Macaca fascicularis: one gene and its partners. The protein of the gene in region 1 interacts with the protein of each later gene in a pairwise test. Links are inferred from orthologs where the notes say so. Each region holds a gene or a part of one and is shown on either strand. Other genes may lie near its edges.

Region 1 (10,605 bases):
AAGTAGACAGAGTCGATGCCCTGGATGCCAGACCAATTATGTGCTTATCTGCCCACAGGCCCTGAAGTTCCCTGTGGCCTTGGAAAAGTGCAGACACCCGCCAATGCTCGTACACTCTTTGAGAACACAGAAGCATGTGCCTTTGGCAGGCTCTCCCCCAGAGCCTCTGCAGTCAGCAGAGGTAGGTTCTGTCCCAGAGCCTCTGGCTTTAGGACAGCCTCCCTGGAGTCAGTAGCTGGGCAGAACTGTTCTCAAACATCCTTTTGCTCCACGTGAGTCACCTTGGGGAGCTGCGGGTGGAGTTTAACGGCTGGTGGTCCTTGCTTCCATCAACTCACCTGGGCTGGGTCTTCCAGACCCGCCCTGTCCTGTTCTGCCCAGGAAGAGAGATAGATACACCTTGAGGGCAGGGCAGTGCCTTGCTTCTTGGGATGTCCCAGAGAGCCCCGAGCACATAGTTGGGGCCCAGTTAAGTGTCTGTTTAATCATGGAGGAGCCTGGGCAATTCCTACAGCCTGAGTCAGGCTGACTCAGATGGGAGCCAAATTCCCATGAAAGATCCCTGAAAAGGCCCTTAGTTCAGCCCTATGAGCCATTTTCAGAGCAGTTTTTCAATTTGTTCTATAATAATAATGATCATATATGATATATATATATATATATATATTTTTTTTTTTTTTTTTTTTTTTTTTTTTGAGACGGAGTCTCGCTCTGTCGCCCAGACTGGAGTGCAGTGGCACGATCTCGGCTCACTGCAAGCTCCGCCTCCTGGGTTCACGCCATTCTCCTGCCTCAGCCTCCGGAGTAGCTGGGACTACAGGCGCCCGCCACCACGCCCGGCTAATTTCTTTTTGTATTTTTAGTAGAGACGGGGTTTCACTGTGTTAGCCAGGATGGTCTCGATCTCCTGACCTCGTGATCCGCCCGCCTCGGCCTCCCAAAGTGCTGGGATTACAGGCTTGAGCCACCGCGCCCGGCCTTTTTTTTTTTTTTGAAATGGAGTCTTACTCTGTTGCCCAGGCTGGAGTGCAGTGGCACAATCTCGGCTCACTGCAACCCCCACCTCCCAGGTTCAAGTGATTCTTCTGCTTCAGCCTCCTGAGTAGCCAAGTAGCTGGGACTACAGGCACCCACCACGCCAGGATAGTTTTTGGGTTTTTTTTCATTTGTTTTTATTTTTTTGTTTTGTTTTGTTTTTCATACAGGGTCTCACTCTGTCGCCCAGGCTGGAGTGCGGTGGCACAATCTCGGCTCACTACAACCTCCGCCTCCCGAGTTCAAGCAGTTCTCCTGCCTCAGCCTCCTGAGTAGTTGGGATTACAGGCATACGCCACCACACCCAGCTAATTTTTGTATTTTTAGTAAAGACGGGGTTTCACCATGTTGATCAGACTGGTCTCGAACTCCTGACCTCGTGATCCACCCACCTCAGCCTCCTAAAGTGCTGGGATTACAGGCATGAGCTACCGTGCCTGGCGTGGTTTTTGTTTGTTTGTTTTAGAGATGGGATTTCACCATGTTGATCAAGCTGGTCTCAAATTCCTGACCTTGGGTGATCTGCCTGTCTTGGCCTCCCAAAAGTGCTGGGATTATAGGCGTGAGCCTCCACGCCTGGCCCATATATGATATTTCATATAGGAAGAGTTTACAAAGCATGAGAAATATATCTACAGTATGTTGTAAATTGTCATGAGTTACTAGTGTGTTTATTTATGCCTCTAAACAGAAATACCCTGAAATAGGATAGCTGTTATCTCCATGTGGGGAAACTGTGGCTATCAGAGAGGGTATAGAAATGCTCCAAGACCTCACTGAGCAGAATCTAGGTCTTCCCGCTGCTGTATCACACTATGCATTTCAATCAAAAATTTACTAAGCCTCAAGTGTTGTGCTGTGGTGAGCAGGAGCTGGGGAAGGAATATTTAGAAATGGCACACTCAGGGCCGGGCGCGGTGGCTCATGCCTGTAATCCCAGCACTTTGGGATGCCAAGGTGGGTGGATCACGAGGTCGAGACCATCCTGGCTAACACGGTGAAACCCCGTCTCTACTAAAAATACAAAAACAAAATTAGCCGGGCGTGGTGGTGGGCACCTATAGTCCCAGCTACTCGGGAGGCTGAGGCAGGAGAATGGCGTGAACCCAGGAGGCAGAGCTTGCAGTGAGCCGAGATAGTGTCACTGCACTCCAGCCCCTGCGACAGAGCAAGACTCCGTCTCAAAAAAAAAAAAAGAAATGGCATACCCAGCTTTGTGAGATCCTGGGGAATCTGGCCTCAGCCCACCCTCCCTCCTTACCCTACCCACTTCTTGGCCAATCTCAAACTCTCCCTTAGCTTCAGCCACCATTCGGACCACAGATTAGCCAGCTTGTGACTCTCCAAGCTGTATCTCCAGCCCCGACAACTCCTTTGAACTCCAAAATTATAGACCCAAGTGCCTTCTGCACACTTTCCATCTGGGGGTATCTCAGCATTGCCAGACCAGGTTCAAAGCTAGACCCCCTCCTCCCCAACACCTGCTCAGCATCCTGCATTCCTGTCTCAGGTGGTGGCTTCCACCTAATCACCTAGGTGTCATCCTTGGTGTCTCTCTCCTCCACCTAAACAGCCAATCATATTGCCAAGTCCTATCCATTTTCCTCCTAAATATTCCTCAGATCCAGCCCTTCCCCTTCCTCCCTATACCTTGTGTCCCAGCTCAGGCTATAATCCCTCGATAACAACCTCCTTCCAGCCTCCCTGCCCCCAGTCTTATCTCCCATGCATTCATCATCCCAGCAGCCTATCTGTACAGGTTCCTCCCTGCCTCAAACCCCTTCTGTGATTCCTCTGTCTGAAGAGATGAAGTCCAAGTTCCTTAATGAGGCTCCCTTTGATATGACCTTTCCACCTTTACAGCCTCTCCTCTAGCCACTCGGGCCTGCCCGCAGAGTCGACTTCATCTTGAAATTTTTCATTTTGTAACAAAGGGCCATGCATTTCCATTTTGCACTGGACCTCACAAATTACGTTGCCCGTCCAGCCTGCCTGTTGTTGCTTGCACCCCTCTTGCAGTTTGTGGCCACCTAAGCTGTGTCTCTGTAGTCTCCTCCATCTAAAACTCCTCTTCCCACATCACCCAGCTATCTTCAGCAAACTCCTCTTCCCACATCACCCAGCTATCTTCAGCTGTTCGTTTAGACTCCATGTAGGTGTTCTCTTTGGGACGTCTCACTGATCCTCCTCCTTCCCCTTCCCTGCCCTAATCGCCCCACACGTTGCAGGTGCTTAACCATGTCTACTTGAGAAACTTAATGAGAAGGCAAAGCATGACAAGTGCCACAAGAGACCTGTACACTGCTCTGGATGGTAAAGTGACGCAAGAAGGGAAGAAGGCATTTGCAACGGCCTCCCAGATCGGCGCTAGGACCCCGCCAGCAGACACCTCAATCCGCACGGAGAGGACCCAGTGCCCGCCTGGGGAAGCTGCTGCCAAGCTGGGCTCTCGGGCGCCGCCTGCCTCAATCGCACGGCCGCTGCAGCGCACCCCCGCCAGTCCCCGGCCGTGAGCCCGCCTCGCGTCTCCGATTGGCTGTCTCCATTCTCCCGCCCCTCCCGAGCTCAGCCTTTGGAGCCTTGGGGTGGGCGGGGCTGAAGGCCTGAGTGGAGCGTATACCCTGATTGGCTGTACGGAAGGCGGCGACGTGGCCGAAGGAAGCCCGTTTGTGTCTAAACTGAAGCTCGGCCATAACGCCACTGGATTGGGGCGGGGGGGAGCGGGCCAGAGTCTCCGGCCTGAAGCGGAAGTGGAGGAAAGATGGAGGTGTGGGGACAGGAGCTGGGTGTGCTGGGAACTGGCCGCGGACCCCTAACCTATGTCCCCGGTCTCCCTCCGGGCGCGGCTCAACCCAGCCCATCGCTCTGGCCTTGTTCTGGCCCTGCAGGGTGGTGGTTGGGACCGTGAAATGAGCGCGCGAGTGGCTCGTCCTCCCAGCCGCGCTCACGCCCCCCTCCCCACCGTGTTTCCCTCCAGGACCATCAGCACGTGCCCATCGACATCCAGACCAGCAAGCTGCTCGGTAGGAGGGGGCGCCACCGCTTAGCTGGCTGTCGGGGGGAGGCCTGTTCGTTGCCCCCTGTGTCCAACAGCTGGGAGCTCTGACGCCTGAAAGCCAGGGTCGAGGTGCTGACCACTGGCTTCGTTCTACGCCCCACGTGTGGCCAGACCTGCTTCCCTGAGAGCAGCCGGAAGGAACCATATGTAGAGTCTGTTTGACCTGTGTTTTCTCCTTTAATAACATATGTTATCTATCATTCAGGGATAGGATAAATGACTCCGGGCGACGTGGCTCATGCCTGTAATCCCAGCACTTTGGGAGGCCGAGGCTGGCGAATCACCTGAGGTCGGGAGTTCGAGACCAGCCTGACCAACCTGGAGAAACCTTGTCTCCATGTCTCCATGACTAAAAATACACAGACACAAACACAAAATTAGCCGGACTTGGTGGCACATGTCTGTAATCCCAGCTACTCGGGAGGCTGAGGCGGGAGAATCGCTTGAACCCAGGAGGCAGATGTTGCGGTGAGCCGAGATCTCACCATTGTGCTCCAGCCTGGGCAGCAAGAGCGAAACTCCATCTCAAAAATAAAACAAAAAACAGTCAACCGGCCGGGCGCGGTGGCTCAAGCCTGTAATCCCAGCACTTTGGGAGGCCGAGACGGGCGGATCAGGAGGTCAGGAGATCAAGACCATCCTGGCTAACACGGTGAAACCCCGTCTCTACTAAAAAATACAAAAAACTAGCCAGGCGAGGTGGCGGGCGCCTGTAGTCCCAGCTACTCGGGAGGCTGAGGCAGGACAATGGTGTAAACCTGGGAGGTGGATGGAGCTTGCAGTGAGCTGAGATCCGGCCACTGCACTCCAGCCCGAGCGACACAGCGAGACTCCGTCTCAAAAAACAAAAAACAAAAAAACAGTCAACCACTAAGTGGCACATTTGGAACTTAAGTCTGTCTGACCCACTGTCCATGCCCTTTGCATTAGGCCAGAAAAAAAAAAAAAAAAAAAAACACCCCTCATTTAAAAATCTTCACCTCCCACTTGATTTTAGGAGGAAGAGAGACCTAAGACCCAGTTGGAAATGAAGACCTTTTAGTGTCCAGGCCATCTCCAGGTTATCTGTATGGGGCCTGCATGCTTCCTCCCCAGTTCATAATCAGGGAAGGCCTCTTCGTCTGATCACAGCTCCTGGCATTTTAAAATGCTTATTGGATTCATGGATTTGATGCCAGTCTTGTCCTTAAGATGGTATCTGATGGCCGGGCGCGGTGGCTCAAGCCTGTAATCCCAGCACTTTGGGAGGCCGAGACGGGCGGATCACGAGGTCAGGAGATCGAGACCATCCTGGCTGACACAGTGAAACCCCGTCTCTACTAAAAAATACAAAAAAACTAGCCGGGCGAGGTGGCGGGCGCCTGTAGTCCCAGCTACTCGGGAGGCTGAGGCAGGAGAATGGCGTGAACCCGGGAGGCGGAGCTTGCAGTGAGCCAAGATCACGCCACTGCACTCCAGCCTGGGCGGCAGAGCGAGACTCTGTCTCAAAAAAAAAAAAAAAAAAGATGGTATCTGACTACCCCAGTCCATTGCTTCTAGTTCTGTGACATCAACATAATTTTTCTTTCTGAAAACTTTACAGGAATATAGCAGAGGGAGTATAACTGATACTAGTGTGGGACCCCAGTGTTTGACTGGTTGGCAGAGTACAGGTTCTGAATTCACCACTCTGTGGGGCCATTTAGTCTGTCCTGCTTGGTGGCCATGAGGGGCTTCTTTAGCCTCCCTTCAGATTTGTACTGGCCCTTCAGCCCATGTGCAGTCTTGCTGTGTGAGCTTGTTCTTGGTCATGAAAAGGACCAATAAAATGACTACCATTCATTGAGGGTTTGTTTTGTACCAGGTGCCGTTTTAGGCACTTAACATGATAAAAATGATCACTATAATTTTTTGAGTTCTTGCCATGTTTTAGGCACACTGTTCAGTGTTTTACCTGCATTCCCCTTTCTAGTCAGTGTCTTATTATTCCCCATTTTACATGTGGGAAAACTGAGGCACAGAATAGTAGACTTGCTCAAGAAACTTGATAACAATAACTAGAACCCAGGACCATCTGACCACAAAGCTCAGCTCTTAGCTCTCACTGAGGAAATATGCATGGCTCTGAAGCCACAAATCTGGGCCCAGACTTTGAGAGGTCAGTCCCATTGGTATTCACATGTACAGGGTGGTACTTCACTGTTCACAATAGAGTCATGTTATCTAGTCCTTAGGGCGCTGTAGGTATTAGAGGCTTTGCAGCTGTTCATTCATCCGGTACTTGGCATAACCATCTTGCATTTTCCATTGTCATGGTTAATCCCAGCCCTGAGGAAATGGAAGTTGAGCAGCATCCTCTGTCAGGAAGAAAGATATAATTACCCATAGAAGCAAAAATATTATGGGGAATTGAGAATGGTCAAAAGTGGCACTTTCATGTCAGGACCAATTGAAACTTTGTGTTATCCCTGTGTTGAGGCAATTGCTCTATAAAAATCACACTGCTAATGAAGTCAGATTGTCAGAGCCTGTATAGCCCCAGGCATCTCTTTGGGCTTGTCTTTATTCCCATCTTTCCAGAACCCCATACTTTATTAATCAATGTAAAGACAACTTTTAGACTATTTTCAGTGTATTTCACTCCCATTAGTGAAGGAATTTTGGTGATGTGAATGGGAATACTCCAGTTTGGGTGCTTCTCACGTAGATTGGCTGGTGGACAGAAGGCACTGCAGCCTGAAATGGCAGAGTCTGGTGCTGACGATCCGAGAGAAGATCAATGCTGCCATCCAGGACATGCCAGAGAGCGAAGAGATCGCCCAGCTGCTGTCTGGGTCCTGTGAGTGCTTAGGGGCTGTCACTGGAGTCCCTTCTTTGCTGAGGTAGTATGTATCAGCTGAGCTACTCCCTTGTTATGTAGACACCAGGGCTGGCCTTTAGAGAGGGAGCGATTTTTATTTGAGGTATAGATGCTGGCTTCTTCCACTATGATATGATGAAAGGAAAAGCTACACACTAAAGTTACTGGCAGTATATTATACATGAATCAGCCACCTGCAGTGCCCAGAGTAGGTGAGGAAGATATTTTAGTTCTCAAAATCCTGTCTCTTGCTCTCTAGACATTCACTACTTTCACTGCCTAAGAATCGTGGACCTTCTCAAAGGCACAGAGGCCTCCACAAAAAATATTTTTGGCCGATACTCTTCACAGCGGATGAAGGCAAGTGTGGGCCAAGGGCTGGTAGTATGTGCCTGGGGACATCCAGTCCAAGGAGTCATAGCCTGTGTTGTCTCTCTGAGGCTCCAGTGGAGATGCCTACATAGAATATTTCCTGAACTTTTGCTCTGTCTCTATAGCTTATTCCAAAGTGGATCCTATCCCTGAGTTTAATTTTCAAACCCACTGCTTTAGGGATCGCCTGCACTCTTAAAGTGGGTGGTCCAGCCAGCAGAGTTGAAAGGACAAGGAGTTTGTGTTTGATGTAACATGAAGGCTGGGAAAACTTCCCCTGTTTAGGGATTGAGCTGGGATGTGGCTGTTGAGTGCTTTTCTGGCTTAACATCATCTTTCTGTTCTTACTCAGGATTGGCAGGAGATTATAGCCCTGTATGAGAAGGACAACACCTACTTAGGTAAAGTGGCCTAGCCTGGGAGCCCCGGTATCCATGGGAAAGCCCATTCAGAGTTCTGAGATACCAGGCTTATAGGAGGCACAGTCTGTGAGTGGGAAGAGACTGGAGTGTAGATGTTGCCTATTTGTAGGTGGTAAAATCAATTGTTTTTGATGGAATTGATTTTCCCACCTACAAATTGATTTTCCACTGGGTGGAGTGCTGGGGGAAGGAAGAGGTTCAGGCTGGTAGTGGGCATTCGCCGTGCCTCAGCGAGCAGGCGTGTGTGGGTCCTCCACCACTCACCTCTTCTTGGTAAGCGGGAGTGTGCTGCCCCCACCCCCACCCCCGCACCCCCATTCTACACAAGACAGAAGAGGCACAGGTTTTCCTAGGAGCAATATCAAGTGCCTGAGAGAGAGCAACTAAAGGACTAACTGTGTTTGGGTTGGGTTTAGTATAAATAGTAATGATCGCTAATATTTACTGAGCATCTACTAAACGCAAGGAATTGTGCTTGGTGTGTCGTCTGGATTCTCTCTTGCATCTTCGTGATAAATGTTATTGTCGCTGTTTTACAGATGAGCGTTGGATTAGAGGGGTTAAATAACTTGTCTTAGGCTCCACAGCTGGGAACAGGCGGTGCTGGGAAGCTGACCTCATGCTCTTCACTACCACAAAGGGGGTGTGTGCATGCTGGGGCCTGCCTGCCTCATAGGGGGGTGTCCTGGGATGAATTTCTTGGGCCCTTCTCAGTGGAACTCTCTAGCCTCCTGGTTCGGAATGTCAACTATGAGATCCCCTCACTGAAGAAGCAGATTGCCAAGTGCCAGCAGCTGCAGCAAGAATACAGCCGCAAGGAGGAGGAGTGCCAGGCAGGGGCTGCTGAGATGCGGGAGCAGTTCTACCACTCCTGCAAGCAGTATGGCATCACGGTGAGCAGCGGCAGCCTCTTCGAAGCCAGAGGACACCTGGGCCCCTGCTTGTCTTCCTCTGACCCCGTCTGACTCCTCAGCCCGGTTGCGTCCGCTTTGGGCCAGTGTCTTACTTTTCTTCAGTCTTTGGATGTTTTCTTCAATCTGTTGGACTCCACCTCTCACCACTTCTGTCTCACTCCCCATCTTCTCCCCTCTGTAGGGCGAAAATATCCGAGGAGAACTGCTGGCCCTGGTGAAGGACCTGCCGAGTCAGCTGGCTGAGATTGGGGCAGCGGCTCAGCAGTCCCTGGGGGAAGCCATCGACGTGTACCAGGCCTCTGTGGGGTTTGTGTGTGACAGGTAAAGAGGCCTCAGCTTCTCCTGGTGGGCGTGCTTTGCCTGTGTTTCCCAGCTCATGTCCCTTCTCCAATTGTCTTTTTCCCATATAACATTTGAACTCTTTTTACACACCTGAACCTGTGGAGGCCTTGCCCATTTGACCATCTGGCTCAGGCCAAAGGCCAGTGTTGGCCTCATGCATGGTCTGCAGGAGAGTCAGTTGTGTGCTCTGTTGAAGCCCCACAGAGGAGGTGTTGCCAATGCTGCGGTTCGTGCAGAAGCGGGGAAACTCAACGGTGTATGAGTGGAGGACAGGGACAGAGCCCTCTGTGGTGGAGCGACCCCACCTCGAGGAACTTCCTGAGCAGATAGCAGAGGATGCGGTAAGATGGGCCTTGTGATGAGCTGTGGGAGTGTAGTGGGAGCTGCTTGTCCCCTCCCCACCCCCAACAGCCCAACCCAAGACCCAGAGGGAAAAAAGGGGATTTGTGTGAGAATGACTGTAGGTAGAAGGGCCCAGGAGGCCCTACTCCTTTATTTTTCTGAGTATAGGTGAGTGAGTGCCACAGAGGTTTTGCAAGGTGGTTCAGTTTGAACTGGGAGCCTCCATCATGTGAGCTCTCTGAAGATGGGCTTTCTTTGGGGGAGCTTAGAGGCCACTGCATTTGAACAGTGTGCTCTCTACAGAAGCAGCTGAGGCCTTTGGGAAGGCAGTCCCACCCTCCTTTTTAATTAATTTATTTTGGAGACTGGGCCTTGCTCTGTTGCCCAGGCTGGAGTCCGGTGGCATGATCTCAGCTGACTGCAACCTCTGCGTCTCAGCCTCAAGCGATCCTCCCAAGTCAGCCTCCCAAGAAGCTGGGATTACAGTCATGCGCCACCACTCCTAGCTAATTTTTTATTAACATCTTTGTAGGGATAGGGTTTTGCCATATTGCCCAGGCTGGTCTGAAACTCCTGGGCTCAAACAATCCCCTCTCCTCAGCCTGCCAAAGTGCTGGGGTTACAGACATGAGCCACCACGCCTGGCCCTTTTTAAATCCATCTTCCATGAGCTAACACTCTCTTTCCCTTTCCAGATTGACTGGGGCGACTTTGGGGTAGAGGCAGTGTCTGAGGGGACTGACTCTGGCATCTCTGCCGAGGCTGCTGGAATCGACTGGGGCGTCTTCCTGGAATCAGATTCAAAGGTGAGGAGGCCTTCTCAGTCTGTCTCTCTCATTACTACTCTAACCATCAGAAAAGTGTCATTTGTGTCTGTAAAGGCATCACTTGAAGTTCATAGCTCTAAGACCAGGTATAGTCCAAGGGAGGCAGAGTTTCACACCTTACATGTCAGGGTTTTGTTTTGTTTTTTGAGGCAGTCTCATTCTGCCCCTCAGGCTGGAGTGCAGTGGCGCAATCTCGGCTCACTGCAACTTCCGCCTCCCAAGTTCAAGTGATTCTCCTGCCTTAGCCTCCCAAGTAGCTGGGATTATAGGCACCCACCATCACACCCTGCTAATTTTTGTATTTTGTTAGTTTGTTTGTTTTTTGAGACAGTGTCTCACTCTGTCACCTAGGCTGGAGTGCAGTGGTGCGATCTCGGCTCACTATAAGCTCTGCCTCCCAGGTTCATGCCATTCTCCTGCCTCAGCCTCCTGAGTAGCTGGGACTACAGGCGCC
Region 2 (9,996 bases), on another chromosome or scaffold:
TCATAGTATGTGACAGTCTTTGCTATTCCGCCACCTTCTGGGAAGGCCAATGGCCAGGGGATGGTTTGCATGAGCCCTCAGCAGGGTGCAGAAGCCAGGTGATCCCCGTATCTCATTCCCACGTTTGGTAAACACCTCTCTTATGTTTGCCCTCCTGGGCTTGTTGCTCCTGGTCCCCAGCTCATCACAGCTTCCCAGGGCCCCAGTAGAAACAAGGGTTCGCATTGGGTAACCTCACTGTGCTGCAGCTGGAACCTGGCTTTCAGGACTTCAGGACCTTTGGTTGAGTGGTTTTAGAAAAGGTTACTCAGGGGCTGGGCGCGGTGGCTGTGGCTCACAACTGTAATCCCAGCGCTTTGGGAGGCCTAGGCAGGTGGACCCCCTGAGATCAGGAGTTCAAGACCAGCCTGGCCAATATGGTGAAACCCCCTCTCTACTAAAAATACAAAAATTAGCTGGGTGTGGTGGCGGGCACCCGCAATTCCAGCTACTTGGGAGGCTGAGGCAGGAGAATCACTTGAACCTGGGAGCAGTGAGCCGAGATCATGCCACTGCACTCCAGCCTGGGCAACAAGAGTGAGACTGTCTCAAAAAGAAAAAAAAAAGAAAAAAGAGAAAAAGAAAAGGCTACTCAGACTGAAGTGCCCTCAGGCCTTTGAAAAGAAATGAAATTTCAAACAAATAATTTTCTACTTAGCCTGTTTCTTTTAACTCCAGAAGGGTTATCTGCATGACTGGTACTTACATAAAAAAATAGTTAAAAGTCTTTTTAAACTACAGACAATATAGGTTTCACCTGGACTCATTTTTCAAGATACGAAATTGTTGGATTGTTTTCCTTTGGTAATTGAAGCCCGAATTCAATGTTGTCTCTAACGTACTTTCAGATTCTTTGCCCTCTGGAGAACGTTTTGCCCACTTTGCAGGGGTTATGAGCGAGTGTCCCTGAGGGTCTCTCTCTGCCCCCTCCCAACGCCCGGCCGCCCTGTTCCGACTGCTCCCCCTGCCGGTCGGATCCGGACACTGCAGGGAGCCTCATGTCCTCGGATGATGGATTCCTTCTGTACCTCTCATCATGTCCTTTTCTACTGGCTTCAACTCGCATGTCCTCTGTCTTCAAGAAAGAAAGAAAAAAATGAAATATTTCTTTTGCCTTCCTGTCATTTTACGCTGTCGCCCTAACTGATATACTTGGAGGCAAAGGGAATTGAAAGGGCGTGTACTTTGGAACCAGACAAGCCTCAGTTCAAGTCCGGGCTTTGGGAAACCATGATCCGGGAGTTCTGGGGCAAAGTAAGGCTTTCTGAGCTTTAGCTGTATTATTTGTAAAATGGGAATAGTACCGATCTCCTAGAGTTATAGTGTTAAATGCCTCCCTTCCTTTCTTTACTCTGACTTCCTCCACCACCACCTCATGGTCCCTGATTCCTTTCCTCCCTTCCCTGCAAGCTTCCGAATTCTGTGTGCCCCGGGCAGCATTGGCCCTTCTGGGGCTCCCTGCAGTTGGCAAGAGCAAGTCACTGTGTGAGCAAGTCTTGGGCTCTGTTATCTTCAGATGCTCAAGTCAGGAAATAGAGGGCTGGAGGTCATTGTGCTCATTTTCCCAGAGATTATCAGTGCCAACTCCACCCCTTTTAGGAGCTGACATGTGCCATGATCGTAGCTCAGTGGGATCTTTAATGCCTACTGATCTCGGCTTAACAGGACAAAGATTCCAAGACCACGTCTGTTCTGGGAAGCAAAGCAGGATGTGTGGGCCTGGAGTGAAGCTTTGTTCCACTTCTTGCCATAGGCCATGGTATGAGTACAGCTGTGTCCAGTGCTGCCTGGTTTTACTTTCATGCCTGATTTGCAATGTGGCAGGGTCCTGAGATGAGGGAGCTCTGTGTGGGCCAGTAGAGTCATGAGACTTTGGCCTGGTCACTTGGCTACTTGCAGGGGATTCTGGAAAGGCAAGTTCTCTGAATCTCAGTTGCCTTCAATATAAAAGGAAAGCTATAGTTTCTGGCCTGATTGATTCACATGATTTTGGGAGGGAGTGAATGAAATTAATGTAAATTAAAAACACATTATGAGTAGCAAAATGCTATGCAATCTAAAAATGACATTTTAATAACTCTTATCATATGTGCCAGACATTGTTCTAAGCTGTCTACAAATAGTAACTCATTTAGTTGAAAGCTCACAACCACCTTATGAGAGAGCTGTTAATATCACCACTTTACTGATGGGGAAACTGAGGCACAGAGCGGTTAAGTAACTTTGTGGAAGGTCACACAACCAGCAAGTGGTACAGTCAGGGTTTGAACCAGGCAATGAGGAATCAGCATTTGTTATTGTTCCTATTCCTATAGCCTAGCTGGAAGGGGAATGCAGTGCTGGTTTGGAGAACACATCAAGCAGGCCTCCTGTCATTCACTGAGTGAGATGAGATGATGGCCATACATTGCAGCACAGCCAGCTATCCATGGGTCTGCAGCAACAGATCAGTCTTGCAGGGACATGGATAGCCCCGCTAGTGAACATTCACATGTTGTTCAATGAATAGCTAGAGTAAATGGTTGGATCTCATTTAGGGGCATGCTCTGGCATCCCACTTTCACGTCATTTGCTTTCCAGGCCCACTCCAGGATGAGAGTACTGATGTGCCATAAAAGACCAACAGGCAAGATGTTGGAGGGTTCAGGAGCCACCAAAGTTGTGTTCATGCTGACCTGTGGGCATAGCATACAGCAGTGCCAGTTGCTCTGCTAAACCCAGGAGCTGAGATGCTGTGTTGATTTCTACATGTTCCAGGCAAACACTTCCTGAGGATTGTTGGGATTTTCATAACGGATTGGCCCCAGGACCATTGAGCCAGCATGTATCTTTGACAGGTGTACCGAGAGATGACCTTTAAACCTAGGGATGTGCTCCAGATGCAGTTCCAGCTGGGCCAGTAAGAACTGCACGTTTATAGTGCTGTTTTCTCTTTCCTTCCCAGGCGGCCGGGATTGCTTACCACCTGCAGCGTGCTTTCGGAGGCGGCGGCTGGCACGGAGGCCGGGCTACATGAGAAGCTCGACAGGGCCTGGGATCGGGTTCCTTTCCCCAGCAGTGGGCACACTGTTCCGGGTCCCAGGAGGGGTGCCTGGCGAGGAGTCCCACCACTTGGAGTCCAAGACCAGAGAGTGTGGCCTTGACCTGGGAGGCCTCTTGGTTGGGAGCCCTGTTTCCAAGAGCGCAGCAGCCCCTGCTGTGACCTCTGTGAGAGGAACCTCGGCACACTTTGGGATTCAGCTCAGAGGTGGCACCAGATTGCCTGACAGGCTTAGCAGGCTGTGTGGCCCTGGGAATGCTGGGTGGCAGCAAGAGTTTGCAGCCATGGACAGTTCTGAGACCTTGGACACCAGCTGGGAGGCAGCCTGCAGTGATGGAGCAAGGTGTGTCCAGGCAGCAGGCTCTGTGCCATCAGCAGAGTTGAGTAGCAATAGCTGCAACCCTGGCTGTGGCCTTGAGGACCCCCCAACCCCTCCTGGCTCTCACAGTGCCTTTGCCTCAAGCTTTAGCTTTATTCGGCTCTCGCTTGGCTCTGCCGGGGAACGTGGAGAAGCAGAAGGCTGCCCACCATCCAGAGAGGCCGAGTCCCCTTGCCAGAGCCCCCAGGAGATGGGAGCCAAAGCTGCCAGCTTGGACGGGCCTCATAAGGACCCTCGATGTCTCTCTCGGCCCTTCAGTCTCTTGGCTACACAGGTCTCAGAGGACTTGGCCCAGGCCGCCGGGAACAGCTCCAGGCCAGAGTGTGAGATGCATTCTTTACCGGACATGGACTCTGGTTCCTCCAGTTCTCTGGATCCCTCACTGGCTGGCTGTGGTGGTGATGGGAGCAGCGGATCGGAGGATGCCCACTCTTGGGACACCCTGCTCAGGAAATGGGAGCCAGTGCTGCGGGACTGCCTGCTGAGAAACCGGAGGCAGGTGGAGGTCAGTGTCTCCTCCACCTCTGCAGCCCGAGATTGTCGTGAGCTCAGATTAGCACTGGGCAGATGGCAGAAAGTGAGGGGTTCTGGGCTCAACTGCTATCCTCCTAAAAGCTGCAGCAGCTCCTTTTGGAGCTGGCTGAACAAGGATGTTGCTACACTTCTGTCTCTTTGAATTGGACACAGATCTACCCTCCCTTTTGTCTTCTCTGTCACGTAGGTGCTCAGATTTGCTCTCCATTGGGCCGCAGGCTCCTCCACAGGCCCTGGCCTAGGTGAGACGTGGTTAACTCAGCTCAGCTCTGCTTTGAGACAGGAAACTGGGGGCAGGGGAGATTGAGCTGGATGATGTTTAGAAGGGGTTGAGAGATACAAAAATGGGGATGCCCTGTATCAGGGCGATCCTGCTCTTCATCCACTTCACTCATTCCCTTCCATCCTGCTGCAGTGACTGCTGCCTTCCATAGGATCAGGAGACTTCGCTTCTGGTCATTGAACCTCTCCGGCTCTCAGTTTCCGTATTTAGAGATAACACCAACTCATAGGATTGTTCTAAGGCTCAAATGAGAATGTAGCTGCTTTGGAAATAAGGACAAACTGGAGACATCTAAGGCCCAGCCTTATGATGTTGCTGTCTATCCAGTTATCTGAGAGGTGGGTATAGCCAGAAGTAGGCAGGGTTCCTCTACCCACAAAAATTCCCAGAGAAGCCCAGGTAGAGATGCTCTGTGGCTGATCTATTGCCAGACTGTGTTTTAATCCTGGTGGGTGTACATATGTGTGTTTGTGTGTGTGTGTGTGCACATAGAGGTGTGCATGTGTGTGCTTGTATGTGTTTGCATGTGCATGTGTATGTGTGTGCATGTGCGTGTGTTTGTGCATGCGTGTGTGAGTGTATTTGTGGGTGTGCTCATGTGTTTGTGTGTGTGCGCATATACGTGTGCATGTGTGTGCGTGTGTGTATGTGTGTCTGCATGTTTGTGCTGTGTGTGCATGTTTGTGCATGCGTGTGTGAGTGTATGTATTTGTGGGTGTGTGTGCACTCGTGTTTGTGTGTGCATATAGGTGTGTGTGTGTGCGTGTGTGCATATAGGTATGCATGTGTGTGCGTGTGTGTATGTGTGTGCATGTTTGTGCTGTGTGTGTGTATGTGTGTGTGCATGTTTGTGCTGTGTGTGCATGTGTGTGTATGCATGCGTGTGTGAGTATGTATTTGTGGGTGTGTGTGCACTCGCATGTGTGTGGGGATGTGTTCATGTGAGTAGGGAAGTGGAGCACCCACTCATCAGGCATTTGGGAGGAGAATCTGCAGAAGCTCATGCTCATTCCCCGAAAGAGCATCTACCTTCCGTTCTTTATCTGCAGTCTGGTGTTCCTAGCCCTGTCCCTGTTTGCCCTTTTTCAGCCCTCAGGGACCTCAGCCCAGCCCTCTGATTTATTATGCAGAGAGGGATTGAGGCCAGAGCAGAGATGCAGGCTGGTATTCTGGGTGATGTGTGGAGTCTTCCAGTTAGTCATTGCCTAAACCAATGCCCTTGTCTTTCCCCCAAACCCATTCTGAAGGGCCTCCAATATTGGTTGATTCGAATGCATAGAATCTATCCAGTTTCTTAGGCCAGAAACCACAACCATCTTCCACACCTCCCTCTCCCTCGTTCCACATCTGGCCGGCCTCCAAGCCCTCTCAGTCCTACTGCTCATCTGTCTCTCACCACCATGGCCGCTGCCCTGACTCAGATCCTTGTTATCTTTCACCTGGGTTTAGCAAGAGGGTCTACCTTCCTGCGGTGTTTCTCTTCTCCAGTTAATTAAACTAAATGTGATCGTATGTGCAAAGTGCTTCAGACAGGACCTAGCTCCTAGCAAGTACCCAGAAATTGCCCATAGTCATCATTAGAGAAATAGCTCCTATTTAGAGAGTTTGAGTCAAAAGCTAATGAAGCTCTCCCTTCTGCCCATAGCTCAAATTAAATTCCTATCTTCTCTCAAATGGTAGAATCTGGATACACTTTTTCTGTAGTGTAAGTATTGTTGTCTATGGCAGTCCCACACCTGGGCAGGGAAAAACATGGCACTATCTTCAGTTACACTCGTGTACTGCATAATGACATTTTGGTCAATGACGGATCACATATATGATGTGACAGTGGTCCTATGAGATTATCATACAGTGTTTTTGTTGTACCCTTTCTACGTTCAGATATGTTTAGATACACCAATACCTTACCATTGTGTTACACTTGCCTGCAGTATTCAGTACAGTCACAGGCTGCACAGGTTTGTAGCCCAGGAGCAATAGACTCTTCCCTCTAGCCTAGGTGTGAAATGGGCTACACCATCCAGATTTGTGTAAGCACAATCTACGATGTTCACCCAGTGATGAAGTCACCTAATAATGCTTTTCTCAGAATGCATCCCTGTCATTAAGTGACGCAAGGCCGTACTTGAGTATCTGTTGTGTGGGAGAGGAATTAACTGAGTAGTGGGAATGACGAAAATAACTCAGCCCAGGGCACAGGACTTACAGGAAGGCAGAGTTTGCCTCAATAGGAGGAAGAACCTCTTGACAGTGGGAACTGTCTTGATGGGGCGGGCTGCTCAGGGACTTGTTTTCCCATGGTGCTTACGCAGAGGCCCCAGACTGCTCACTGGGGTTGTGGCTGAGGCCCTCGGGACGGGGCGGAAGGTCGGGTGAAGGATCTCCAAAGAGATCCTTTGAAAGAGTAGGATTTCTAGTGTTTGGGGGCCTTTTTGATATTATATTCTAATTCCTTAACCTCCTCTCCCTTCTACTTAAGTAAAAATGGGAATCTCAGGAATTTTAAGTTTCAGCTTCTTCTAAAAGATGCTTGATCCTCAGTATTCATGGATTCTATATGTGTGAATTTGTCTACTTGCTAAAATTTCTTGTTAACTCCAAAATCAATACTCACGGCACCTTTATGGTCATTTTTCATTTTTATTTTATTTTTTAAGAGATGGGGTCTCTGTCCTCTAGGCTGGGGTGCAGTGGTGTCATCATAACTCTCTGTAACCTTGAACTCCTGGGCTCAGGCGATTCTCTTGCCTCAGCCTCCCTAGTGGCTGGGACTACAGGCGTGTGCCACCATGCCTGGCTATTTTTTTTTTTTTTGGGGGGTAGAGATGAGGGTCTCACCATGTTGCCCAGACTGGTCTTGAAGTCCTGGCCTCAAGCGATCCTCCTGCCTCAGCCTCCAAGGTACTGGGATCACAGTCATGAGCCACCATGCCTGCTGGTAATTTTGAACCTGCACAGAGTGGCAAAAAATTTGGGTCACCTGATGTACACCCTTTCTACTTAGGTCAAACAAGGTCAGACCAGATGACATTCTACCTTCTCTCTCATACTACAAACTAGTACCCTTTTTGTGGTCTATTTAATGCCATCTTTTTTAACATTTTTGTGCTCTTTATTGGTGAGTTCACCATTGCAAATGCCCCCCAAGCATAGTACTAATGCCATCTAATGCTCCTAAGCATGAGAAGGCTGTGATGGGCCTGATGGAGAAGATATGGGTGCTCCAGAAACTTCATTCAGGCGTGAGTTAGAGTGCTGTTGGCCAGAGTACAATGTTTATGGATCATTAATACATATTAAATAAATTGTTTTTAAACAGAAACACACGTAGAACAAGGTTACTTGTTGATTGATTGAGGAAAGTATTGTGACCAGGGGCTCACGGGAAGCTACCCTGTATTTCCTCCTAGGAGCAATGCTTCATTATTCCCTAATTCAGTATTTACAGAAACTTTACAGAACGTAACTACAGTACTGTGAATAAGGAGAATCAACTGTGTATATTTTATGCTGTTTAGAAATCGCTGCTTAGCGAGATTTCCAGAGGTTGTGTGGGACTGAGAGGATAGTAATAAAGGCAGTTGGTGATCAGGCATGCAGAGGAGGGGAAGTGGAGTGGGCCCTACAAGGTAGGCTCCACCTAAGGCCGTGGAAACTGGTGAAAAAGGAAGGACTGTGCCTGCAGGGCATTATAGGACATTCCACAGGCAGGGTTGTGGTACCGTGCAAGACATGGCCACTGGGGCTGTGCTTCCAGCAAAGATGGGTATTCAGACATATCCCAGGGCAGTCCATTCAAGGCCTTATAGAGATCACTGGACAAGGTGGGCATCGTGGGGTGGGCTTTGGCTGTAAATGAATTTTTTTCTCTGTCCCTGTTTCCTGCATTTCTTCAGCTTCTGTTCAAATAAATGTTTAACGATACCATCATTTGGGTGTGGTGATGGTAATGCTATAGCTTTATGTGGCCTTCAAACATTCACAGAGCCTTTCTTCTCTCCCTGATACACGGGACTAAGTTACTGGCAAATTTTGCAGTTGTAATATAGAGCAATTCAAGGACAAAGGGGTTAATATGATTATTCATTCATTCTTTCATTCATTCAGAAAGCATTTATCAATGACAACTAGTACAATGCCTTATGCTAGGCTTTGGAGGTTGTGTTAGTTAGGATAGGCTGGTAACAGACACTACGTTACAGGCTCAACACAACAAAATTGTGTTTCTTGCATATGCTTCGTGTTCCACAGAGGTTTTAGGGGGGGCTCTGCTCCATAGAGTCACTCAAGAACCCAGCCTGCACCATCTGAACATGTGACCCCCTTAGTCACAGTCATGAGGAAGAGAATGTCAGGGAGTCCTACAAGAGCCATCAAATGCTTCAGCATAGAAGTAACCCCATCATTGCCACTCATACCCTGTTCAGCAGAACAAGGAGAGAGGCACTTGTACTCTTTCCATGTGCCCAAAGCAGTGGAAAAATCAAGTAAGGGTAAGTACTAGCGTCTTATACATGGATGCAAAATAGTTCTTGCCCTCCAGATGCTCAAGGTCGAATGATATGCACAGATAAAACCAAACAAAGCAAAAGATGGCTATAGCCTGGTGTAATAAGTACTCCATTCTTCCAGTGGCTCAGAAAACAAAAAACAAAACAAACATTGGCATCATCCTGGTGCGTTTTCCTCAGACCCCACCTGTGAGGTATTAGCAAATCCTGTTGGCTCTATATTTAACCAGCGATCTTTTGAATATATCCGGAATCAGATCACATCTCACCATCTTTGCCATTGCCACCATCCTCATTATCATCCAAGCTCCCGTCATCTCCTTCCTGAACGTTACCATGGCCTCTTACCTGGCCTCCCTTCTTTTGCTCTTACTAACAGCAGCCAGAGTGAAACTGTTTAAAATGTAAGTCAGATCATGTGCTCTTCCGCCCCAAACTCTCCAGTGGCCCCCATGAACTTCAGAGTAAAATCATAACTTTTAAATGTCTTCTTGTCTTTTCTTGATACAGTCCTCATTACCTGTGTGACCTCGTTCTCTACAGTTTTCCCTTCCATCAATCTGTCCCAGATCCAGTGGCATTCTTGCTCCCACTTGCTTTTCATTTCACTTTCACTTCTTGCTTTCTTACCAGAAACACTTCTGCCTGAGCCTTTGTACTGGCTCTTCCCTCTGTGGCAATGTTTTTCTCCCAGACAGCCTCATGGTTCACTACCTTACCGCTTTTAAATCTTTGCGTAATTGTCACCATCTCAAGGAGATCAGATTTCAAATTGCACCCTCTACCAGCATCCCTGATCCCCATAACATGGTTCTCCCTTTTCCTTTTTCATAGCGTTAGTCACTTGCTGAGGTGCCATAAAACTTACAGTTGACCCTTGGAACAACAGGGATTTGAGCTGCAAGGGTCACTTATATGCAGTTTCTCTTCCACCTCTGCCACCCCTGAGATAGCAAGACCAACCCCTCTTCCTCCTCCTCAGCCTACTCAAGATGAAGATGATGAGGATGAAGACCTTGATGATGACCCACTTCCACTTAATGAATAGGAAAGTTTATTTTCTATTTTTTAAGATTTTTTTGTCATCTAGTCAATGTTGAATTTATTTTTTTCTCAATGATTTTTAAATAATATTTTCTTTTTTCCAGTTTACTTTTATTGTAAGAATACAGCATATAATACAAAATGTGTGTTAATCAACTGTTTA
Region 3 (10,476 bases), on another chromosome or scaffold:
TTCAGAACTGTGAGAAGTAAATTACTGTTTACAAGCCACCCACTCTATAGTATTTTGTTACAGCAGCCTGAATAGACTAAGACAGGTAAAGGAAAAGAAGATAAAGAAGAAAGTTCAACATTAAATTGGGATGGTCATGCAGTCTTATTTCTAAGAAGGTGGTTTTTCATGTTATAGGTTGTGTAAGGTTGCAGAATAGTATGGTGAATGAGTGCACAGGCTCTCTAGTCAGATTACCTCATTCAAATTGTGGCTCCACTACTTGCTGTGTAATCTTCGATAAACCACTTTATTTCTCATTGCCTCGATTCCTTCTGAGGCATAGTGAAGTGGAGGTCATAATATCACCTCACAGGGTCCTTGTAAAAATTAAATGAGATACACATTTAAGCGCATAAAAGTATATGGTATATAGAAAACACTAAATAAATGTAAGCTATAATGAACTAGAAACTATATCATTCTGAAAAAGAAACTGCTGGCCAAAGATGTAACAATAGGGGATATTTCACAAATTTTCCAATCTTTACTGTATACTTCAGTAAAGTCATTCCTGTTAGACTGTATTAATTTATGTTTGAACTTCCAGTAAATCTTTCCTCCTTGCAAATAAAAACTACCTCATGGATTTTCATGGCATTTTCTATCGTTATTTTTCCATAGAATCAGAAGTCACTGATGTAGTTTTTTCTGTGTAGTAAGGTTTATTGCCAATTTCCAGTAGAATAGACTTTACTGTGTACAAAATATATATTATTCGAATATGCAAAAAATGTAAAATATAACTCATAGCTACAATTATATATCCACACACCTCAAAATGAAACACAAGGATAGTCACACTATTCATATTGGTAAAATCTTTCAAAATTTTTATTTAAATTTAAATTTTCACTTAAATATCAAGATTCATTAAAACGTTCTATGAGACAGTAACTGGGCTATACTATGGTAGATGCTACAGAAGCTGCTATGCAGTCATCATTATCTAGCTGGGATAAAATTGACCTTAATGAAACAACCAATAAAGTTAAAAAGTAGAGGATAAGTAACTACGGTCATTTGCTGTATAACATTTTGGTCAAAGATGAACTGCATATACAAGTGTGGGACCATAAAATTATAATACTCTATTTTTACTGTATCGTTCTTATGTTTAGATACAAAAATACTTACCATTATGTTACAAGTGCCTACAGTATTCAGTTCAGCAACATGCTGTTCAGGTTTGTAGCCTAGGAGCAATATGATATACTATTTAGCTTAGATGTGTAGTAGGCTATTGCAGTTAGGTTTGATAGATGTACTATATGATGTTCCCATAATGACAAAATCCCTGTCATTAAGTGAAACATAACTGTACTAAGTTGGATGGTAAAAGTCATAAGGGCTATACAGAAATCAGAAAACTGTCAAAATGGCAAGTAATCAAGGAAGGAGGTAAAGTAATTAAAGTGGGAGGAGGCAGTTTGCCAATTAATATATATGTGACCACGGGCATGTTAACTTCTCTGTGCTCACTGGGTCTTTGTTTATAAAATCTAATGTATTTAAACTGCCTAGTACAATCTACATGAACTGAGTGTTAAAGAATGGCCAGGTGGTTATGAGTGAAAAATGATTCAGGTAACAGAGCTAATAAAAGCTGGAGATGGGAATGCTTTGAGTAGTAGAGATATAAATCTTTAAAAAATTTTGGCACACATAGAAAGAAAAATAAGTTCACATGTAATTTTATATTTTTCTATAAATTTATATAATAGCAAACTTCTTTTTTCCTCCTGCATGGAAAAGTAACTTTCATTCAGTATTCCCTGCTTCTCTTCAACTTGGCTCAGGTTATAATGGAAAAGAGTTACTCTTTCAACAGTGCAAAGATTCTTTGGAAAAGAAACAGAGCAGTGTCAATAATTCAAAGTCACAAAGTCAATTATAACACACTGTTTACTTGTTTACAAAGATGATACCTCAACAGATTGACTTCACCACACAAATAAAAAAAGAGCATTTATTAAGACAAAGAGGAAAGAGGGAGAGAAAAATAATTGCTCTCTGTTGTGTGAATCTTGTTTGCTATTTCTTATGGGATAACTGATTAGCTGGCAGGCAGTAAAGAGGTCATTCTGGACACATTGTCCTTGGTAGGCTGACTAGGCATACAAAAAACCCTGCAAGGTAGGCTGTTTCTCTGTATTATCTGCCAGTGACCTTCCATCAGTACTTTATCTTAGTTGAACCAGAGCTACACTCCTTCCCTCGCTAGAAGTCTTAGTATATATGCTGCATTCCTCTAAATCCTTTTTTTCTAAACCTGTACTTCTGAGTCTGTATTTGAAAGTGATCATAATCTGGGGTGCTCAAAATGGAGTTTCTTTTACAAAGAGTTATAATCATAACCGTTTATTCGAATATAAATGTAAGACATTAAACATAAATATGCAAAATTTACATTTCCCTTTGGTCTTGCATTTTTCCAAGGATTAACACCATTATTCTCACTCCAACAAACTAACATATTGTACTGGTAATCACTATCAAATGAATTGTAAGGGCTAACTGACTTGAACAGACAATAACTAACCTTACTTTTAAAGTAAATATTTTAAGAGACAATAGCATAGATGCCCCGGCACATAGCTGATTATTGCTCCTGTGCTGCAGTGAATTACCACATGAACACATTTTGGCAAAGATTTGTTAGCTTCACGTCTACAGGCATTATGAAGCAGGAAACACTTTTAGATTAAGATTGTAACCTGAGGAAAAGAACATATGCATCAGTTTAGAAATTAAAATCCCCTGAGATATTTCTTTCAGTACCGCTCAAAAGCCTCAATTTGTGCTCCTGTGCCAGTCACCTCTACGTAAGGAAAAACATTTTGCTACTCTTTATTAGTTAAAAGTGAAGAGGAAATATTGTCCACTTGCTTTGTAGATGTTGGCCAAATTATATAAACTTTAAAATCTGTAAGACAAATTGAAATATTCCTTTATTATGTCTTGTTAGGAGGAGAGAAGTTTGCCTTTCAGCTGCTCCTTAATTTTAAAAATAACACTAAACATAGTAACACTTCTCTTTAAAAATCAAACTCTGCTCATCTAAATTTTTTGGTAATAGCCGAGAATCCATACCTTAAAGAAGGAAAGCCTGTGAGTTTGTGAATCCACTTTCCTACTCACGAGAAGCCCTATGAACTGACTTGAATAGACAGTAACTAACCTTATTTTAAGAAACAATAGCTTAGGTGCCTTAGAAATTCATTCAGAGGCTTATAAATCCACATTAACACAGTTCTCACATGTTTGAGTCTGGTCTACATCCATTTACGTAAGTAAAACTCCCTTTCCAGATTGATGAAATTCTTTTTGTGACAAGAAGACAAAGGAATACAACGGATTGATAAGCGTAGTCACCGGCGCAGAGTTCTCGCGCGATGTTAGGACGCTACCGCTCTGACATCACCGGTTGCCATGGTAGCACCGCGGCGAGTAAAAGAGGGGTGGCGCTAGACGTTTCGGGCAGAGTGCGGCCGCTGCGGAGACAAGGAACTCTCCCTCTACCGCCAGTCTGACTTCTACCAAAATGAGCGGCCTGGATGGGGGCAACAAGCTCCCTCTCGCCCAAACCGGCGACCTGGCTGCTCCCGACCATGCCTCAGGAGATCCGGTCCTAGACCAGTGCCAAGTGCTCCATGAAGAAACCGAGGCGACACAGGTGATGGCGAACACAGGTGGGGGCAGCCTGGAGACCGCTGCGGAGGGAGGTGCATCCCGGGATCCTGTTGACTGCGGCCCCGCGCTCCGCGTCCCAGTTGCCGGGAGTCGCGGCTGTGTGGCGACCAAAGCCGGGCAGGAGGATGCTCCACCTTCTACGAAAGGTCTGGAAGCAGCCTCTGCCTCCGAGGCTGCTGATAACAGCCAGAAAAATGGCTGTCAGCTTGGAGAGCCCCGTGGCCCTGCTGGGCAGAAGGCTCTAGAAGCCTGTGGCGCAGGGGGGTTGGGGTCTCAGATGATAGCCAGGAAGAAGGCCAAGGAAGTGACGACTAAAAAGTGCGCCATGTCAGCAGCGGTGGAAAAGGAGGGAGAAGCAGGGGCGGTGATGGAGGAAAAGAAGGTAGTGCAGAAGGAAAAAAAGGTGGCAGGAGGGGTGAAAGAGGAGACACGGCCCAGGGCCCCGAAGATCAATAACTGCATGGACTCGCTGGAGGCCATCGATCAAGAGTTGTCAAACGTAAATGCCCAGGCTGACAGGGCCTTCCTTCAGCTTGAGCGCAAGTTTGGCCGCATGCGAAGACTCCACATGCAGCGCAGAAGTTTCATTATCCAAAATATCCCAGGTTTCTGGGTCACTGCCTTTCGAAACCACCCCCAGCTGTCACCTATGATCAGTGGCCAAGATGAAGACATGCTGAGGTACATGATCAATTTGGAGGTGGAGGAGCTTAAACACCCCAGAGCAGGCTGCAAATTCAAGTTCATCTTTCAGGGCAACCCCTACTTCCGAAATGAGGGGCTCGTCAAGGAATATGAGCGCAGATCCTCCGGGCGAGTGGTGTCTCTTTCCACTCCAATCCGCTGGCACCGAGGCCAAGATCCCCAGGCTCATATCCACAGAAACCGGGAAGGGAACACTATCCCTAGTTTCTTCAACTGGTTTTCAGACCACAGCCTTCTAGAATTCGACAGAATTGCAGAGATTATCAAAGGAGAACTGTGGCCCAATCCCCTACAATACTACCTGATGGGTGAAGGGCCCCGTAGAGGAATTCGAGGCCCACCAAGGCAGCCGGTGGAGAGCGCCAGATCCTTCAGGTTCCAGTCTGGCTAATCTCTGTCCTGTGAGAAGCTTCTGCACAAGTTTCCTTACCACCTCCTCTTGGACCTATGCTTGGCCAACAGCATGCAGTCTTCTGTCTGCTTTCTCTTCATACTGCGGATTATCTTTTCCTTTGGTTCTTCTAAATCTTCAGTAATCAGTTGCAAGATTATTGGCTTACCTGCCCATGCCATTCTTCCTCTGGACCTTCATGCTTTTCTGCATTGTGTTAACATGTTTCAAGTGCATGGCCTTCTACGGCTTCTATGCCAAACATGATACTATAGATGTACTGTACCATACTGCCTTTCTTTGCATGGCTTGGACCCTGTCTGTGACCGTGGTCTTCTCCCAGTTTAGGTGGTTCTGTACCACAAAGAATCTTGATACATCTTCACAAATAACTACTGGGCTTCATACTTTATGCTGGCTGTGTACCTGATACCCATGTACTTATGGTAAGCTCTTTAGGTATTACCACTGCAAGACAAAACTGATATCTTAACCCAGCCGTCAACCCAAATTGGACATTCCAGACTACCACCAACTGGATCCCAGCTGCCTTCCTGGGCTTGTGCCATCCACCCTACTGGTTATCTGGTAGAACAAGCTGGTGGCTGGTGGGTGACTGCTAGGCATGAATGAGGTAATAGATGAAAAGTGTTCTATGATATCACATTGGTGTTCCTGTACCTTTGGTTACTCTACATCATGACCAGCTACTGGTAAGTATGAAGCCTGTGCTGTAGCCCAGCCCTACTTGCTCTCACCTTCTGGTTGAACTTTGCTTAGGCCACCATTGTCTGCCTTCAGGAACTATCTGTAGACGTAGCTCCCAGGGAGCTCACAGGAACACCCCCTACCACCAGGATGGGCAGTCATATGTGACAGTGCCCAAAGCAAGGCTGGAACGCAGTCCCTTCCAGCTTAGTCTTTCTGATTGCTAGCCAACAAACCATCCTTAATCTGAGCAACTTCTTTAGGCATTTCCTCTTTTCCCCGCCTGCTCCCACTCTGAACATGACAAAGTTGCCAGAGTTGGGGCATTGAGGAAGAGATATTTCTGGAATGTGAGACTTCTTATGCCTCTGTCTCTGTGTCTCTTTCTTTCTCTCCCTCCCCCTTCCCCTCTCCCTCCCATCCCTTCTTTTCTTCCCTTTCACTCTGAAGCAGTTTTAGCTTATGAACAGAAAACAAAACTGGCAAAGCAGACTTTTTGTTTAATTTGCTCTTTCCTTGATTGTGTTCAGAGAGGAAAGGTATGATTAAATGGGTTCCAGATCTCTTATTGCCCTTATTCCTCCACCCCACTTCCTTTAGCAAGGTCTGACAATTTCAAAGGGAGACCTATAGGTTGTTTAGTTAGAGGCAGTGTTCTTTTAGGCAGGTTTTGACATCTTTATCTTTTACCCTATCCATTCTACCAAAACCTGTGTATTTCTTGAGCTTTTAGTTTGAGAAGCTGGAAAGAGAGAGAAGGGCCTTACAGTGATGGGTTCAGGACAGGTCCTGAACAGGATGTGAGCGAAGGCAACCAAAACTTAGCTTCACTCCACTTTTCTAAAGATGGAAATGCTTTTTTAGGCCTTGGACTGCTTGGAAATGACCCAAGGGTAGCATTTTGTAGGTCATTCTTCTCCTTTGTACTACTTTGTTCCTGCCCTGATGTCCCATGTGTCTTCATCCTACTGCCTGGCTTTCTTGGCCCTCATTTTTCAGCTTCTGCATTTCCTTCCTTGCTCCTAACAAATGAAGAAGCAGGCTGCAGCCTGCATTCTGGAAGATCTCCAACCTCCTTGTAGGGGATAAGGGGAATTTTTCCCTTTCGATTTTGAAGGCTTTGACCTAAGCCCCTTTAGGGTTGAGGAGGTCTGAACACACACAGTGGAGAGGTTAGTCTAGGTTGGGAAACTGAGTAAGTCCAGAGCAGAAATGAGCCTGCTGTGGAGTGGGTTTGGAAAGGCCTACAGGAAAGACCCTGCAGGGTCAGGGGTGGGAGGGTAGGCCCCTGAGGTGCGCCCCAGGGAAGAGGAGCTGGTATTTAAATCGTATGCTTGGAGGAAGATTTTCCTTCAATTTTTCCTAAGTCCTTGAATTCACCAGTAGATTTTTGTAAACAAAACTGTAAGGGTGTTTCCTCTCGATTATCCTAGGAGTGACCTTTATATGTGTGGAAGATTAATGGTGTATGCTCCTTATGTCACTGTTTTTGAGTAAAATCTATTTCCTTTCTCCGTTTCAGCCTATGACAAAATTGATGTTTACAGGCCTGCTTTTTGCTTATAATTGACAACATGTGCAAAAATACCAAATTTGTGTCCTGTGCAGTATGAAGACTTCAGTGAATATTCATTAATGTATTAGCTTGTTCTGCTCTCTGTTCATATATGGCTCTATTCTTAGAAATATAATTTGAATGTGATCTTTCAGTAGTCTGAATATTTTACAAATTGTTGCTATGTCTTGTGAAAATAACCTCAAAAAGAAAAATATGACTCTGTTGTCTTACTTGATACTTCTTGCCCTAGTAATGTACTTGACATTTATGTTCCTAAGCAGTGTAAGTACTAGTAGAATTTCTCTGTCAAACTCAATGATGATTATTAGTACTTTTGTCTTCTCCCATGTGCTTGAAGGAAAAACAAAGTGTCACTACTGTATTTCTTGTTTTCATCAAAAAATAAAAATAAATAAAAAATTCTGTTGTCTAGGTTAATTTAAGGTTAGGAAATCATTAAAGTTATCAAATGATACCAGTAACTATCATCCTGAAAGTTAAAAAAAAAAAAAAAAAAAAAGCAACAGCCACCAAACCTCCTAAGATTTTTCACTTGAAAAATGGTAAATAGAAGCCCAACTACAACTGCATACTCATGAGCATTATTTTTTCTATATAACAGTGCAGTTTTTGGTGGTAATTGAAGCACCATATAGTATCACTTAAAATACTGTTTTCAGTGGAAAACTTGTCTATGCAGCATCCTTGTTCATTACATTTATATTAACTGTGCCTTCCGAGGTCTAACTCTCAATAAGCTTAAGATAGACTTTTGGAAGAATTAATTATTGTGTATTCTGAGTGCTACTTACATTATTTTCTTACACCAGTGTGTGGCTTTAAAAAGAATACCAAGAAAACATGAAATAAAATGTCTAGAGACAAATGATATCAGGCATCACAACTTTAATTACCAGTAATGATAGTTTTGCTGTATAGCAGCAATTACATGAAGTTTTATTGGATAAATACCTCTGCATTCTCTGCAGTAAGGAGGGCTTTATGGATGCTGCAAAATCTGTGAAAATGAATTGCCAAGTATTTGTAGCCATTTAAGCAAAAATTTGACAAAAATGGCCCAAAATTTCTCATTTGAGTTAGAAACTTAATTAAACATACAGTTAGATAGATGCTGACTCCTGGTGCAATTGTTACTTGCAATTTCTTGCTGCAGTATTTTTTTCTAGGGCTGGAGAACTTTAAGTATTAGAGACCTAGGTTTTCTTTTGCAAGCTCTACATCCATCTTAATCCTAAATTCCCCTAACAATGTTCATCTTACCTTTTCAGTTCAGTGACTGATTTCTGCATTGTCAACCACCTGTTTCAAGCTTTATTATACATTTTCTGTGCCTGTTCTGGATGTAATCAGAAAATGTCATTTTTCCTACACTTGGCTTATTATCTGCTTTAGTCTAACCAATAGCATTCACTCTAATAGGCTGGTGCCACTTATTTGTTACAGATTAGCATGGTTTCTGTTCCGTTTAGTCTAATAAAATTAAAGTTACTCAATTAGGCATCTTACAGGTTTCACTTACCAACCAATTGGTTCACTGCTATAGCCCTGCTCCATTTCTTTGTATTGCTTTTTCTTCCATAATTCTAGACCCCAATTATTCTTTATGTGGACCTCCAAACCTGTTAAGAGGTTCTCCCATCCTCTGGTCACCTAAGAAGTATTATCATTTTAGTCTTCTCAGGCGATAATCTCTGTGAGTAGTGGTGACACTGCATAATTTCCTGGTCCTCACACAACATTTCCTTGGGCTTCCATTTCTGGGCATTCAGCACAAGCCAGACACTTATAAAAGGCTTCTCTGACCTTCTTATCAGGCCCTTCTCCCCATTACTCCTGGTGCTGCTGCTTTGTCTCCAGCTAACTCAAGCGTCCTTAAAAGTTTTCGTCATTAACGAACAAAAACTAAAACTCTTACCTGTATTTTTAATTTTTGAGTTCCTGTCCTATAGAATCACAATTTAAGACCTGGATATTTGATCTTGTTTCAGTGACATATTCCCTGGCTTCACAATCTCCTCAAAAGATCTGAGGTATGTCAGGCACTTCGAAGTGCAGTCTCTTATTACTTTGATAAACCTTGTAACAAATTTTATTCTTTCCATTTAAATAGTTGAGAAAACAGAGGTCCAGAAAGTGGAAGTAAACTGCCTAAGATGCAAGTCTCACTGCTGAGTTTTCTGATTTCAAGCTAGCATACCTTCCACACTATCACAGCTATGGTAGTAAATTTGGCATACAAATGTTAAACCCTATTGACATGAGTATTCAGGCCTCAGTTGAAGGTTATGTTTAATCATTCATGAACAGCCTTTGACAGGAGTACATTTTATCCCTTGATTTAATACAGGATTCCATATAGTTACAGATGAACACATTTGAATTTACTTACGTAATCTTGATGTTTGCTGCACATGAATGAAATTTAACAGTTTGTTCCCTTCATCAAAGGCATTGAACATTTAATGTACCAAAAAGACATTAAATGTTATACTCACGGAATTTAGCTGCTAAGCATTGTAAAGAACTGCTGACATTTCCGTTAAATTAAAAGAATATTTTTTAATTGATTAAACTTGGTGATTGCTTTTAACACATTTAGATAGTAGTTTATTCCTTTTTTTTATTAAACTTTGTTAAGCTTTATTAAACTTTGATCTTTACAAGGAAGTAACATGACCAAAGTACCAAAAAAAGTAAAACAAACTTGTTTTTTGAAAAGTCTGTGAACAGGTACGTGGTTCAAGAAAGTAATTGTCAAGCAGTCTATGTAGTTTTCTAGTTGTCATTGTAAGTAATGACCCAACTTCTCTATAGGCCCAGATATCCCATTTCCCACTAAGTTTACTCAAAGATGAGTTTTCATCACTCATTCTCCATTTTGGTTACTTCAGCAACTGAGGGAAATTTACCAAGCAGTCGCAACTGAGGGAAATTTACCAAGCAGTCAAGGTGAACATTAACCCAGAATACGAAGAAAGAGTAGGCCTGCTTACTGATGACCTTGGTGTGTGTGGCTTCCAAGAAGAGCAAATTCATTATATACTTTAGGACTCCTATGATTCTTGGATCTCTATTTTACTCTCCTAGGTAAGTTTTATATTACAGATATTTAATATATTTGGCTAAATTATGAATTACTTAAGAATAGAGACTGTGTCTTCACTTTTAATCCCTCTTATGTCCTAGAATGGCATTATTGCTAAATTGAAGTGTGGTTTTGGGCTGAGAATTTGCCCCAGTCTAGATTCAACATTGGAAGACATTATGTATCAAGTAATTAAAAGTGTGATTTTGAGGATCAAACCTGAGTTCATGTATTGCTCTCTTAGTAACAGTGTAACGTAGAGCAAGCATTGTATTT

Evidence for each region.
Region 2: the proteins of CDK5RAP3 (region 1) and DISC1 interact in a two-hybrid assay, tested with the Homo sapiens proteins (2 studies listed by BioGRID and IntAct). The link is inferred for Macaca fascicularis from reciprocal best matches to the Homo sapiens genes CDK5RAP3 and DISC1.
Region 3: the proteins of CDK5RAP3 (region 1) and TSPYL4 interact in binary tests that used the Homo sapiens proteins (3 or more experiments, as listed by UniProt). The two-hybrid records come from large-scale screens. The link is inferred for Macaca fascicularis from reciprocal best matches to the Homo sapiens genes CDK5RAP3 and TSPYL4.

The regions. Positions count from the first base shown.
Region 1 is NC_088390.1:58,756,510-58,767,114, reverse strand, and holds the start of CDK5RAP3 (CDK5 regulatory subunit-associated protein 3), read left to right. Parts: upstream 1-3,771; 5' UTR 3,772-3,796; coding exon 3,797-3,802; intron 3,803-4,012; coding exon 4,013-4,058; intron 4,059-6,779; coding exon 6,780-6,911; intron 6,912-7,191; coding exon 7,192-7,292; intron 7,293-7,656; coding exon 7,657-7,705; intron 7,706-8,440; coding exon 8,441-8,619; intron 8,620-8,821; coding exon 8,822-8,961; intron 8,962-9,178; coding exon 9,179-9,323; intron 9,324-10,019; coding exon 10,020-10,130; intron 10,131-10,605. UniProt on the Homo sapiens protein: Substrate adapter of E3 ligase complexes mediating ufmylation, the covalent attachment of the ubiquitin-like modifier UFM1 to substrate proteins, and which is involved in various processes, such as ribosome recycling and reticulophagy (also called ER-phagy).
Region 2 is NC_088375.1:17,382,176-17,392,171, reverse strand, and holds part of DISC1 (disrupted in schizophrenia 1 protein), read left to right. Parts: intron 1-2,983; coding exon 2,984-3,963; intron 3,964-9,623; coding exon of another isoform or gene 9,624-9,629; exon of another isoform or gene 9,630-9,996. UniProt on the Homo sapiens protein: Involved in the regulation of multiple aspects of embryonic and adult neurogenesis. Required for neural progenitor proliferation in the ventrical/subventrical zone during embryonic brain development and in the adult dentate gyrus of the hippocampus.
Region 3 is NC_088378.1:20,268,742-20,279,217, reverse strand, and holds TSPYL4 (testis-specific Y-encoded-like protein 4), read left to right. Parts: upstream 1-3,517; 5' UTR 3,518-3,583; coding exon 3,584-4,828; 3' UTR 4,829-5,541; intron 5,542-7,058; 3' UTR 7,059-7,306; downstream 7,307-10,476.